Neodiprion lecontei: one gene and its partner. The protein of the gene in region 1 purifies or fractionates together with the protein of each later gene. This does not show direct contact. Links are inferred from orthologs where the notes say so. Each region holds a gene or a part of one and is shown on either strand. Other genes may lie near its edges.

What was found. Proteins that work in one complex are often made in the same cells at the same time.
Region 2: the proteins of lethal(2) giant larvae protein homolog 1 (region 1) and partitioning defective protein 6 purify together in Drosophila melanogaster (affinity purification with western blotting; 5 studies listed by BioGRID, with this or other methods). This does not show direct contact. The link is inferred for Neodiprion lecontei from reciprocal best matches to the Drosophila melanogaster genes l(2)gl and par-6.

What each region holds. Positions count from the first base shown.
Region 1 is NC_060261.1:42,956,961-42,964,613, reverse strand, and holds the start of lethal(2) giant larvae protein homolog 1, read left to right. Parts: upstream 1-3,555; 5' UTR 3,556-3,870; intron 3,871-3,959; 5' UTR 3,960-3,963; coding exon 3,964-4,047; intron 4,048-5,773; coding exon 5,774-5,871; intron 5,872-6,221; coding exon 6,222-6,312; intron 6,313-6,996; coding exon 6,997-7,238; intron 7,239-7,405; coding exon 7,406-7,544; intron 7,545-7,653. Other genes in the region: glutaminyl-peptide cyclotransferase, read left to right, coding at 15-284, 368-529, 681-906, 1,051-1,202. UniProt on the Drosophila melanogaster protein: Essential for the development of polarized epithelia, for cell polarity associated with asymmetric cell division of neuroblasts during development, and for oocyte polarity formation.
Region 2 is NC_060262.1:27,048,818-27,056,372, reverse strand, and holds the start of partitioning defective protein 6, read right to left. Parts: upstream 3,984-7,555; 5' UTR 3,330-3,983; coding exon 3,270-3,329; intron 2,716-3,269; coding exon 2,487-2,715; intron 189-2,486; coding exon 61-188; intron 1-60.

The DNA of each region.
Region 1 (7,653 bases):
CTTGTTTGTTCCAGTACATAATAAAATCGATGGAAAATCTCGGATGGTCAGTGGAAACGGACAGGTTCTTAGACAAGACGCCGAATTTCGGAAAATTGGAATTTGAAAATGTAATATCAAGACTGAACCCCAATGCCAGCAGGTACTTGGCACTCGCATGCCATTTTGATTCAAAGTACACGAGAGAGGGGGACTTTGTTGGGGCTACGGACAGCGCTGTGCCGTGTGCGCAGATGATCAATTTGGCTAGTGTGATGAAGTCGTACTTGGATGATATAAAAAGGGTAATAACAGCCGCTTGGCGTTATTCTTACACCAAAAAATTTTACAACAGTATCAGTATGGTATACCTTTATTATATTTTCAGCAAGACATCAGTCTGATGTTTATATTTTTTGACGGCGAAGAGGCTTTCAAATCGTGGGGACCCACTGACTCCATTTACGGTGCTAGACATCTGGCTAAAAAATGGCAGAAGACACTGTACCCCCCTGGCAATACCGAGGGAATGACGGAACTCGATAGAATTGTAAGAATGAGATGAATAACCACGGACCAGTTGCAGTAATATTTTTTCTCGACCATTCAAAGATCAATATGCGCTGAATATAGCATTCAAAATCGTTTATGTATCTATATTGACAATTCTTAGCTAAGTCGATTGAATTTAATGATTTCAGGACGTTTTAGTACTTCTGGACTTAATAGGCGCCCCAGACCCGACGTTTTACAACTATTTTGAGAACACAGAAAAATGGTATGGGATGCTGATTAATGCGGAGAGAAAATTGGCAGCCATGCGAAGACTGGAAAAATATTCGTACGAAAATCCTGAGCAGACATATTTCCAGCCGTACTCAGTTCGGGCCAATATCGAAGATGATCATATTCCATTTTTAAAAAGAGGTGAGGAGAAAGATATGTTTTAATTCGATCAAGCTGCATTTGCTTATTCCAAAGGTTCTTTTTTTTCCGAAGTAATCAAACCAAGAATGGCGGTAGTGAAGTTAAAACAAATTTGTATCGTGTTTTGAAATGGCAAATTTTTAGGTGTGCCGGTACTCCATTTAATTCCGTCGCCTTTCCCCTCTTTCTGGCACCAATCGGGGGATAACAGAGGTAACATAGATATGGCTGCGACAGAAAACATCAATAAGATCCTGAGGATATTTGTCGCGTCGTACCTTGGGATGGATGTTTAATACTGCGGTATCGAATGGCACCAGTACTCGAAATCATTCAACTGCTCAATGTGTAGTCAATTAGGTACATGAGAAGAAAAAAAAAACTGAACTCTCTAACTCAATGTGAACTATTCGCCGACTTTATAAAGTATACTTGATATCAATTTTAAGATAAATATATTTGAAATGTCAACAAACTTGTGCACACTGCAGCATAACAGGTGTATTATTTATATTTATATATATATATATAAATATATTACATATTTATTGAACATTTTTCTAATTATGTGAAAATTTTTTATTTTATTATCTTGTGATAAATGGAAAGCAGTTATATTATTCGTCGAAATATCCATTTTACCGCAGTACCTATGCGTAATTGAATTTTTAAGAGAAGCATAATAACTATTACACTATTGCAAAATACGAGACGTGAAGATAGGCAGATGTAAATGCAGAATTCGGTTAAACGTGTGTAACATTCTGTTTTTCATCTTTTTCCATTCAAAACCGGATTTTCTATGGTTGGGCTGAAAATAATTTATAACAGGGATTGTAGACATATCATTACAGGACTACTTAAGAGTAGCAATTTTATATTTGACAATTTTTCAAATGGTTGGTCTATCGATTAGTAGCTTTTGCATGAGCATATGAAATTAGTTTTGTCATGAATCTGAAAGTACAATTGTACGCTACCAAAATTTAACAACGCTTATTTATTGTTATTATAAATTAATTAATTTGAAAATGTGCATATGAAAAGATATTGTAAAATGGTCTGTTAAAACAAATATATCATATTTTGATGAAGAGTAGCTGATATGTCTGTTCATTACTCAGCATCGGTACATTTTTGTTATCGTGTAAAACTCAGGTAGCGGACTTATTAGAATGCCTATTAGAGTCTACTGTAAAAAAAAACCGCTTACTTTGATAAACTTGACGAAGGCTTGACAAAAAAGGTAGTAATTACTGGTCAACTAATTTGACAATGACTAAGACGGTAAGCGTAAGAATGAAAATAAACCTGCTGACCTGTACAAAGCTTACTATTCTACCCGGGAGACAAGACCGAACTAAGATCGTTGCAGACTATTCCTCAAAACGTATCTTGACTTCCTGATGCGTGATCGTAATCGGTAATGAGAATGCCTCTCGATCTTTCATGATCATTCGAATACGGGATAAATGAGTATATTCTATTTGAAAATTCTTCTCTTCATTCCTCGGCGATCGTTTTTTCCGGTCTTCTTCCCCGATAGCAAATCAAATTGTAGCGATTAAACGTGTAGAATCGCTTAAATACAAACGGCCGAACAAATGGTGCCGAGCACGTACAGAACGAACGGAAAGCGCGGGACTCCTTTTTTTTAGAATAACAATAGAAAAATGACTGAACACCGATGCTATGAAGACATAAATTTTCTAGAATCATCTACCTAGTAAGTTAATTGAGAGTTCTTTTCGCGATCCCGGATTTGAACATGTTCGACAATAAGCCTGCATATGTTTCAAAATCAGGATTTCGGATCAAAAGATTCTGTCACAGTCAATATTGACGGCAAAGCAGCTAATGGATGGATTAACATGACGCAGTCGTAATTTTGAAAATTCGTTCGATTTGGTCAGGGCGGGGATGTTGAATGAACCCGTTTACAGGTGGCAGTAGCTACAAAATAGATATATACACATATACACATATACACATATAAAAAGGCCGGATTGAACTGTAACTTGTAACACCCGCCAATTACGTGCTCCGATCGCACAGTTTGTTGGATCACGTCTCGTTTATGAAAGAATGTTGCTTTGGGCACGTAAATTGACACATGTACATACATACATCGCATGCCGGAGAAAACGCGTTTGTCCACGAAATGTCCCGTTACCCTGACAATCTGACTAGAATGAAAGGCGTGCATCGTTTCGTGAATGTATATATTGTCATTTGTTAATTGATTTGCTATGCTCGAATGTCGACGCATTGTGCGCAATGCCATTGGTTTATAGGTATATGTTTGTACCTATACTGACTGCATACATACAATACGCGTAACACCAACAGTTTGTAGCGTTCGTGGAATATGTATGCATGTATGTAAGTACAACACATTGCAGAGAGAAATACATTGTACGTATTGTACATACAATGCGCACAAAACGAGCCGAGCACACGCTGAGTACACACGCTACAGGTTTCAAATGTTCGAGGTCATTGTTCGAGTGAATTCGGCCACAGCTCCGAACCCTGCCGATGTTGGGCGTTGAGCATAACGTTGCGGTCCCGTGACGTCACGCCGACCGAGCCGAGAAGAGCCGACCGTTTGGCGATTGGACGACCCGACACACGAAGTGACGAACACGAACGACGCGATCAAGAGTCGTGGAATGACTTACCGCCCCGCTTCGTCGAGATTTTACGTGCTTTTACGTGAATTTCTCTCGTGAAATTAGCGAAAATCTCTGATAGAAAAAGGTAAGAGGTGCCCGCGAGTGTTTTCGCTCAATTTTTTCACCCATTGTACGATATTTTTCGGTATATACGGTGCAGGCGAGTGACACACGGCGATATAGGCGTGTGTAGGACGTGGGAGCCGAACACACTGACAATAAACAGGCGTTCAGGAGTTGCACTAGCCTCGTTCGGCGTTCATTCAAGAATGTTTTAATTGAGCTAATAGTGAGATATCGTAACATTGCGATCGTTATAGCGTAAATGTGAATTGTTGTGTACGTATTCTTTTTCTTTTTTTCATTACCATCTCGCAGAAATATGTTGAAGTTTATCAGAGGGAAGGGTCAGCAACCCACAGCTGAGCGTCAGAAGTTGCAAAAGGACCTTTTCGCTTTCCGGAAGGTAAGCAGAACATAAACATTAATTAACAACTATTCATCCGATCAACAATATCGGAAGCACTCGTTTCATCATCAATTTCTATCGCGAACTAATCAACCCCGTACCAAATTCACACGTGTTTTAAACTTCGTTGGGAGTTTATTTATCAAATAATGGAACTTCATTTGTAATTTAAATACCGTCTGGCGATAATTGGCTATAGCCTTTATTATTTGTTCTTAAACCCTTATATCACCAAATGTTCATATTCAAATATACTACGGTAATGAAAAAATAATGAAATTAACTTGATATGTTAATTTTATTTTTTACTTTTATCCATGCCTAATGCGGTTATTTGTAGTTTGCAATTAGTTACAGTTTTGATTAAAAGATAAGTCGGTAGGTGTGCGTGAACCATGATGTGGCCTAGAGATAACAAACGCTGGTTTTTAATACCGTATCGGCTTTTCTTCTGCAATATTCTAAGTTGATGCAATTGATTTGTTATAATCGTAACTAGCAAGATTTAATGCAATAAACGATGGTTCATTTATACCTATCGGCAGTTGGTGGATATCTATCTTATCGTAAAACTCTGTTTAAAAACAGTGATAAGAGATGCCCTGCCCTTAAAACTAATATTTACTCGCATACATATGTATTTGTATCTAGTGTCTATGTATAGAGCGTTGCCATACATAAAGAAATAACTCCCTTTTTTTGTTTTTTTCAAACCATTGCCTATAGCTAGTTTCATTTAGTTATGCTTCTGTTGATAATGCATTCATGTGATTCTGAAAGAACAATGATCAACAGTTTTCAATTTTTCTTATAATTTTTGATGTAAGAATTGATGAAGGGGAAAGATTTTTCGAAATACATTTTGACATTGATACATGTGATACACGAGATATTGCTGAACTGATATATTAATTCGTGCTCCGATTTCTTATCTCTTGTATACACTTCGATACATGACTCACAAAATCTATTATCTATAATATATAAATTGATCACTCGTATTTTCTTGGGTAACAGAAAAGTGCTGATATTGTACGTACGATGCATTTTGGTATACACACACTGATATAACAATTAATAATCCGGCATGGAGCATGTTAAATATTGTATTTATTTATTGCCAATGAAAACGAGTCCAGGAAAGAATTTCATCTGTATGAATTTGCAGCGCAATTTGTAACATTCTGTGCAATTTGAGACTGATTGGAGTGATGTAAGAAGCAGTTTTATATTGTGGAATGTCACTTGTAAAAATAGAATCATTTATTATTCCATTTGTCTCCAATATTTAATCAGAGCCACTTAAAAGTAATTAAGCTCGTTAGATCGGGTCGTTTTTCAAATTGTGTGCGATAAGTCTGTTCATACTATTACTCTGATCTGTTCAAGCCAACTTGATTAACTATTCTGCATAGCAAATGAGTTGAGAAGAAATGTGTGTGTATTTTTTTTCTTGTCATATTGACAAACAGCATGTGAAAAACAGAGATAGCGAGAAAGAGTGAAAAAGTAAGATGAGATATATAAACAGGTCTAGCGTATTTAAGTTGTCAAAATATGAGTCATCCTCTTCTCAGATTACTCATAGGAAGCACATGTTAATCAAAATATGTTTTTTTTTTCAGTCAATTAATCTTGTTACCCTATATTGATCAGACTTTTCAGCCCAACAGGTAAAACCGGATGCTGATTTTTGTTGTCATAATATTCATTATTTTTGCAGACAATACAGCATGGATTTCCTAATAAGCCCACTGCATTCGCATGGGATTACAGTTTACGACTAATGATCATCGGCACAGCTTCTGGAGCCATCAAAGTGTATCCTTTTCTATTGATGGATGAGAGAAATTCAATTACTCGCAAACCCCATCACTGTTTGTTCTGATAGTGTGTTACAAAAAAGTTTAAATAGAAAAAACATCATGTGATGAATCAGCGGTGAATATGTTACCATTCCAAGATACCGGACGCCCTCGCATAGCTTTAGGTACCTGTGCCAGCATTGCGATCAGGTATTATAAAACCAACACTCTAATGTGTTCACTTTTCTGGGAAATATTTTATCAGCTGTGGTGAAAAATCCGTTGGTAGCATTTAACGTGGATACAATCTCTATTAGGTAGGAGTATGTATTTTCCTTAACCGATACCTGTGATATAAAATCACAGTTTTGGAAGGCCTGGTGTGGAATTTTACGGACAACACACAACGGAAAGCGGTGAAAATGCAGTCACCAAAATCATTGCTATACCAAACGAGGTGAGCACAATGGTCCTCTTTTATAGTTTTGTGATTAAATTTTTTTTTTTTCACGCTTTGGTAAACGCATCCATCAAAAATGGAAAAAACAAAAAACTGCCTGCATGACACTGCTATAAATTAAGTAACCCAAGGGAATGAAAATAAACTTTAATTTCTGTTGACGACTATACAGAGAAGTAAAAGCATAAAGCTGTGAAGTGTTATTATAAAAGTCATACACGTGCACCGAGGTAATCTGACACCTTCTTGCACTCACGATCACCACAAAATGTTACATAAGCCGTTAATGTGTAGGGGTGGTTTACATATATGCTATTCCTGTACCGTACCATCTAGACAAATCTTTCTTATTACTTGTAACTTTACTTGTAATAATTAATTGTTAGCGAGCTATGTGTTTGAACAATTGATGAATGGCAACATGCTGAAGTTACTAACGTTATTCAAACGATTCATTTTGTAGAACTATTTTTTTTGCGACTTTCGAATTGTTTGAAATACAGCAAATCGTAATAAAACAAATCACACTCATATTTTCAAATTTAAGTTTCTTTGAAGGGATTGAAAACTGGAAAACAGTGAATTTCTATCCAACGTTTTGTTATAATAATGTTACCACCTTCAACTTTGTTAATTGGTTGCTATTGCAGAAATGGAAAAATTTTTGAAATTATTTTTTAGGGACGTGTTGTATCGCTTTGCGACGACAACTCTCTACACCTGTGGGAGATCAATGAGAGTTCTTTGGTTGAAACAAAATCACTTTCCCTTGAAGGAAAGTTGAAAAAAATCTCTGCAATGTGTTTGGAATCCAACGGGGATCATCTATTACTAGGGACAGAAGGAGGAAATATTTATCTATTGAATCTAAAGTCATTTACAGTTTCTGATAATATCATTTATCAGGATGTTGTGATGCAAAAGTGAGTAGTGTATCTAGTACTAATTACTGGAAGTTATAAGGAGTTACTAAATCTTGAAGAGTTGAACAAATGACTCGTATTTGCAAAATAGATTATGATCATGATCCCGAATATTTCCGTTTTAATTACATGAATACTGGAATAAAAATTGCATAAAATTCACGCAGTGTCCCGGAGGATTACAAAATAAATCCTGGAGCAGTGGAGGCCATAGCCGAGCAACCTGGACATCCAGATAATATTTTAATTGGATACAATCGTGGGCTCATGGTTTTGTGGAACAAAGCTACACCCGGAGCCCAACAGGTGAGTTGAGAGTATGATCAAAATTAAGTAATACACCCTATTGTTAATCTATTAACTATTTGTTGCGTCAAGCTTTCTTATTTCAATTGAATAATAATTGTCCGCCACA
Region 2 (7,555 bases), on another chromosome or scaffold:
GTTAATCATGGTTAACCGACAATTGCAAAAGTTACATGTATCGTTATTCGATGAACAAACCTGTCTGAAATCATGGGGATTCGATATTGCCAAAGATTTTGGTTTCCCAGGTGTTCCACCTAAAATACTTGATATTAAATTCCGTGGTTTCATGGTTCCATACCCATTCATTTCTTCCAAACTGTCCCCTGCAAACATAATTAATAGAATAAAAATTATTACCAATAATTAATATTATGTAATTCAATTTGAATATCATACTACCCTAGTAGCATTCTGAGGTAAGCCTGCCTACCAGCTGCAACTGCAGACTCTATGCGTCTACTTTCACATTTGACTGCGGGTCTGACGTTAGAATCTGCATTATTCGAAATCTTGCAGAAGTCTGATGTCAGGTAGCAAGATGCCGCTGTCAGGGAAGATTCTGAATTGACTCTGTAGAAAGACTTCCCACAGTCTTTTCAAATTTTTGCAACTGAAGGCAACGCTACTAGGGTAGTTTTGGTCATCATATTCAAATGAGATGTATCATCTTATATATTTGAAAATAGGAAACAGGACTAGGTATTTATAGTGTGTACTATTAAAATGATAAGATATTGCTTTAATCAAAAATTTATGTAAGCCCTTGTGGTTAGATTGTGAAAATATTACCTGTTTATTTAATCATGAAAATTGTAAGAATTTATCATTAAAGTAAATAGCTTTCATAAATAAGCTGACATTGCCATTAGAAATTCCAGTTGCCTTTTATATATAGCGACAATTGTCTTGAATAATTTTACATGCAAATCACGTTCGACTCAGACATTATGGCTATCGCCTTCCACAAAAGGCAACAGAAAGGTATGCTTGGAATGCTCATTTGAAATCAGTAGATCATATTTTCAAACCAAACGCACATAATGTATAAAGATATGTAGGGCATCTGCTATTCACAAAGAAGCATTCCATAGGACTTACTAATGTATAGATCAAGGCTTATCACATAATAAGTATGTGAGTGAAAAATCATGCGTAGAAATTGATTGTAAAATGAACGCCCCCTTTCGACTCAGATTCATTCTGATTCAATGATTGAATATAGTTCCAATAACGTATACAGAAAGATATTATAAGAAATAAAAGAATTTTACGAGAATGAAAATACTGCTAGAGATTGGGAAGCTTATCTATTTAATAATATCTTATTAAATTATATGACCAAAATAAAAAAAAAAAGATTGATGTTAGTGGTCGATTCAATATCTTGCAGTAATCGTCCACTAACTTTTCATTAATTGACAAAGAAACCAAAATTATAGTTTCAGCACTGGGGGCTACCAAACTTTTGTTAGTTTCAGAAGTACACGAAAAAATATTTAAAAAATTACGTTTTCTTTCATATCAGCAATAAGAGTTTACAGTAACAGAAAATAAACCACAGTGTCAAAGTTATTTCCATAATTAAATTTTATTATAAAAAATTTGTACAATCACAGGATTAACACATTTGAGATAGAAATTGGTAAGCATAACAAAAAAAAATTTGATCTAAAGTACCCCTAATTAACTAGTAAGCTTGCAACATCAAACGTAGGTTAAATTTGTTAAAGTATGCCGTGATGAGTGTATGTAGCTTATAGTTACAAAATACATTATATGTATGTATAACAATTATGATTTTAATAACCAACATATAGATCATTCAGCTTTTGAGCAAAGCTAAACCTAACAAGAAAAATATGGCACTGTGTTTAGGTTCTGTGGTTATATATTTAGTAAGAGAAATCTCGAGGTAAAAGCTAAGCTAGATATATTTTATACCGACATTAGTTTAATGGCAATTTATAGAAGATCACAGATAGTAGCAGTAAAAAATTGGTCACTCTTAATATTGTCCTCTGCAAGTTTTAATCACTTTCAATGAATTTTTAGAACCATGTGAGAATCAATTGATTACGAATAATTCGCAGTGAAATATCACTTTTTGGCAAACCGCGTATATTCTTTCAACCAATATAAATTACACACATCAAACAGCCACTGGCCAAAGGCACCCCAAAGCTGTACTCCGTCGCATTTTCATACACCAAAAGCCTGCTGGCCCATTCTGTCCCATTGTACCACAACTACTGCCTTTCGCACACAGAATAAATATTGAAATTAAAAGAAATCTCACAACCGTAGATAAAATCTACCTCGATGCAAGAATGCAATAATGGTCAACAACTTATAAAAATATCCAAGAGGTTGGAATATATAATGTTGATTTTTGCATGCAAGATAACCAGATAAGATCCCATTCAGTTATCGTACACAAAATTATGAAACTCTCTCGCAACACGTCTGTTATTGCTCAAACTTACAAAAGCAGCAAGTTAATAATACACTCTCCGTTTCAAAATACTAATGGATGGCGAACGGTAGATAAAAATGCTGTTGAATTGCACCGAGGTATCGAAATGGCCAACCAACCAAAAAGATTAGATAAAACTCGAATTTACCTTTGCGTTGAATGATGATTCTGAGGACTGGCTTAGCAGTAAGCAGCGCTCTACCCAAATTATCATCGTTGTTTATAGGAAGTAGATCTCCATCTCTTGGGTCCGTGTATGAGATTAAAAAACTAAAATCTGCATCCAATTGGTGTAACTTTGCCAGAAGATTTTTAAAGTCCTCATATCTAATTGTTTCATTTCTGTTCAGCGAGAATCTTCTGAATTCAGCGTCAAACTGCACATAAAAGAAAAAATTGTTTAAAATCATTACACATTATCACAAGATACAAATACATAATTATATTATAACTAAGAACAAGAACGCATTGTACTTTTTAAAAGAAAACATCGCAATATCGACGTAGCTAAAAATATGTTAGACAATGGTCGTGCTTCGAAATAATATCAGGAACCATACTCCTACTTTCTGGTTTTATTTTTTATTTTTATTTTTTTTTTCTCAATGCAATTAAAATTTAAGCTGTGTAATGAAGTACATAGCTGTAAAGAGAATCGGTGAAGCTAGACGATTGGAAAAAAAAATAGAAACACACTATTCTTGATGAAATCATAAAATTGGAACGAGTCACAAGCCCTTTCTATGACATAGAATGCACTGAATGACTCATACAGTTTGAAGAAATATTTAAAAAGAGTAATCTGAGCACAGTGACTAAGTCAGGTATCTGATTAATGAGATGAAATACATATGATTTCTATGCGTTAATAAATGGATCATTGGAATTGGTTAAAGATCATTGATGACTGAGGGTAGAAGAGGGGCCTCACCTTACTCTTCACTTCGACGATGCCGTTGTCCACGCGATGGTGGAGTTTATTCTTTGACATGGTCTATTTGAGAGAGAAAAAAAGAATCTCAGCAAAACCCCTGTCGCCGAGGGCGAAAATCCATAAACAGAAAATAACCCGTACAACACGTAGGGACGCGAGTTGTTGGTAAAGAACGCGAAACCATAGTACGAAAACAGGCAAGCTACTGAGTGATTGGTTACATATGTAGGCAGCTGGAGCGGAGAGGCGCGACGAGTCGCTGCTCGACGATACGGAATCTACCGCTGCATAGGTGTCGCCATCGTTTTACTCCGTGTTTATTATTCAAACTAGCATTCCGATTTCGAACACGGGAAGATTGGTATGAGTGCGAGCCATGTAGGAACCAAGTATGAAAAATCAGCAGCAATCAGCCATGCACTTTCCAAAATTGTCACCTCCGAGGATCAAATTTAAAAGCTCCGTCAAATCTTTTCTAGTTATAACCGTCCTCACTTCGGCAATTTTGATATCTCAAGATCGTCTCACACACGGAGCAAAATGTCGTAAGAATTTCCCGCGAGCGAATGGAATGTGAAGACACCGTGTATATACGTCTCAACTTGCTCTCAACTACGCTTGATGTCAAACAACCGTCGAACCGTCAACAGTCACGCACTTAGTATTTTTCAGAGGCATTCTAATCATTACTAGCGAGTAGCGATGGTAGAGACTACTCAACTTACGCTCCTATATCTAGATGCGTAGTTCATCACCTGAAAATGCAAATACGATGATTCTTGAGTAGTGACGACAGGTGGCAGAAAATACATATGCATCGGAAAACAACAAGATAGGTTAAGCTAATGAAATAATACGGAAAAAATATATGAAATGAAAGAGGAGAAATTTGTTGTAGAAACATGGTTAAATACATTTGTTGTACAGTCTATCTATATAAGCGTATGGTCCGTTGACTGAAGACACATAAAAACTGCTTCCTTTATGGGACTTTTCGTAATTGAAAATGCCCAACATAAATTCGTCGCCAAGCAGCGCCCTCTGCGTCCTCCCCTACACGCGCAACTCAATCCGGTAAGCGGTCGGTAACCCAGATAATACAGAGTCGAATAATAATATGCCTATAGAATGACAAACGGGAATAGATTGAAATTTTCATATAACCCCGTATGGACGCCGTATCTTCTTAAACGAACAAAATTTGAAAGTCATTTCTAAGACCCGGTTTTGAATGAGCTTCGTTTTTTTTTTTCATCGGTTATCACGGGATACGTGCTAATTTGGTATGCAAATATAGTGTTTTATTGTAACATTAACTTGTGTCGACTGCGAAAGGTCAAACAGGGGAGAACGATGTTGAAATTGTCAAACTCTAAATTGCCAAAGGTATCTATAATGCACCTCGTTGTCTTTAATTAAGAAACGAAATTTATCAAAAACAAACATGTATTTACGTCGAATTTACTCTGACTAAACTAGAGAAATCCGAAGGTATTACGATTCCACATGCGTTACACATTATCAAAGCATGACTTTATTGACAATGAATTAAATTTACGCAAGAATAAAATTGTCACTTCGAAAACTAAAATATATTAGTATTTGAACAGTGAAATAAGTTCACATATGCTCGTTTCCACACCACCGCAAGCGGTAGAGCACCCGGTGCGTTTTTTTTTACGTGGTATCCCCAGTAGGCCTACTCCACGGAGAATACTTGCAAGATCGATCTTACGTTCTTCGAAAAATTGCAAATGACTCTTTTCACATGTGATTTATGGTAAATTGTTTTCCCCAATCAATTTTTTTCTTCTAAATTTTTTAGATCATATAACCCACGGACCATTTATTATCGATGAAAGATGACTGTTCTAATTACGGATGAAAGATGGTTATTTTAATTATGGATGAAGGGTGATTGATTTTATCTTATAGGCGAACGGTGATTGACTTTGGATGTTCGCGCACGGTTTTTTTTATGAGATATGAGATCATCACTAAAACAGAGAACCCGGAGAATACGCAAAACTGGAATTACGAATCGCTGTAAGACGTTGGCATTTACCTCTCGGAAGACAATGCAGAAATCTTTGAAGAAACAGAGACAATTCGGAGTAGAGAATGAGCACAACCACCAGAATATGACAGACCTGTATAATTCTACAGTGAAATACAAACCGAACATGACCTATGAGCGACACGAGAAAAAAACTGACTCTAAAACGATCGCAATACAAGACTGTAAAACCATTAAAAGAAACTATAGCTGAATAAATTTTACCACACTTTGTCATCATGATGATTCTAAACTACATCGCTAAATCTATGTAACGGTCAAAACAAGATGACTGATGCTGCACCAAACCTAAGCCTCAAAAATAAAGCGTTAATTTTACAGTATAGTCAATATAACTCACTTAGCTGGAACAGATTGAAATATAATTAACGGAAAGAGACAAATTGAAACAGACAAAAGGTTTGATAAGCTGAAACAAACAAAAAGATTGATTAGCTGAAAGAAACAAAAAGATTGATTAGCTGAAACAGACAAAAAGTTTGATTGGCTGAAACAGACAAAAGGTTTTATTAGCTGAAACAGACGAAGGTATGGTTAGCACAATCACATAATATTATATAATATAATATTATATATATATAATTGAAACAGACAAAAGGTTTGATAAGCTGAAACAAACAAAAAGATTGATTAGCTGAAACAGACAAAAAGTTTGATTGCCTGAAACAGACAAAAGGTTTAATTAGCTGAAACAGACGAAGGTATGGTTAGCACAATCACATAATATTATATAATATAATATTATATATATATAATTGAAACAGACAAAAGGTTTGATAAGCTGAAACAAACAAAAAGATTGATAAGCTGAAACAAACAAAAAGATTGATTAGCTGAAACAGATAAAAAGTTTGATTGCCTGAAACAGACAAAAGGTTTAATTAGCTAAAACAGACGAAGGTATGGTTAGCACAATCACATAAGTTCATACACCGACAAAAATGGTTCGCATCCAACATGATATTCGCTTTGATATTCGTTGCTTCGATTATTAATTGTATCGATGAATAAAAAACATTCTAAATGTTTTGAATCGACAGCTCTTTTTGCTTTGAGTCATTACAGTGAATATCTTTTTTGACTGAACATTCTATAGTTCTCAGTGCATTTATTAAAAAATTGGATTTGTTGCCCTGAAACGGAAAATATTACGATCAGTTAAGCACGTATTTCAGTACATTTCAGATATATTTCATATATAATTACGTCAAGATTCTCCACTATCAGTATAAACTACCGCGATTTTTGTTCCTGCGCGTTGAGCACCGGCTTCCAAATGCCGCGCTTTCTCTAATAACTGAAAAGCATCAAGTCCACGCGCAAAGGCGCTGTGGAACTTGAAAACTTTGTTATTCGTCAAAAATTCAACGAAGAGCTGAAAAATCAGCACGTCAAGAGTGCGTAACTCTTATATATAAACTGTACGCAAAATCAACGCACAGAAAAACGTGTCCGATTCCCGTTATTAATTTACGCGCATAAAGCTGCGTCCAATTCTCGTGAATAATCTACGCGCAATAAGGCGCGACAGATTAAACTGTCAAAAACTTTGTATTTTCTGGGACTTGTCCCAAAAATTCTGTAGAAACCCAATCCGCATCTGCATCTTTTAGATATCAGATACATTGCTATGCGGATTGTGGTTCTCAGATTACAAATAAAATTGAAATTGGGAGGGAGATTGGAGGGCATGCATTATTGTGTGGCGTGACGGTCGGCGGTCCTCTTCGACGCGAAGTCTTCGAGCTCAACATCTCTCCCCATCTAGCGTACCACGGAACGCGATAGATGGTCCAGAGATGCGTTTTGCCCATTCAGACGATCACAGAGATCAATCGAATGGAATAACGATCTGTAATGACTAAATAATTGAATTGCATAACGATTGAAAAATGGTTGCTGAGTGACAAGAAATTAAAAATTCAATTTCGTCAATATTCAAATGCTTTCAAGTGGTCGAGAGACTCGAATACGGAGTCTTTTAGGAAAAAAATTTCTGTGATCATTTGACGCTGTGAATTACCAAAGTTAGTAACATCACGGTACATCGCGACCTTCCTACCCTCGCCTGTTTCCCAACGAAGCCACCCAACGGAAAAGAGAGATTCACACACTCATGCATAAATCCCGCGACGGATCCCAACACGTCCACCTACCTACCCGGTTACCTATATTCGACCTAAACGATTCTCCATTTTTTCCAACA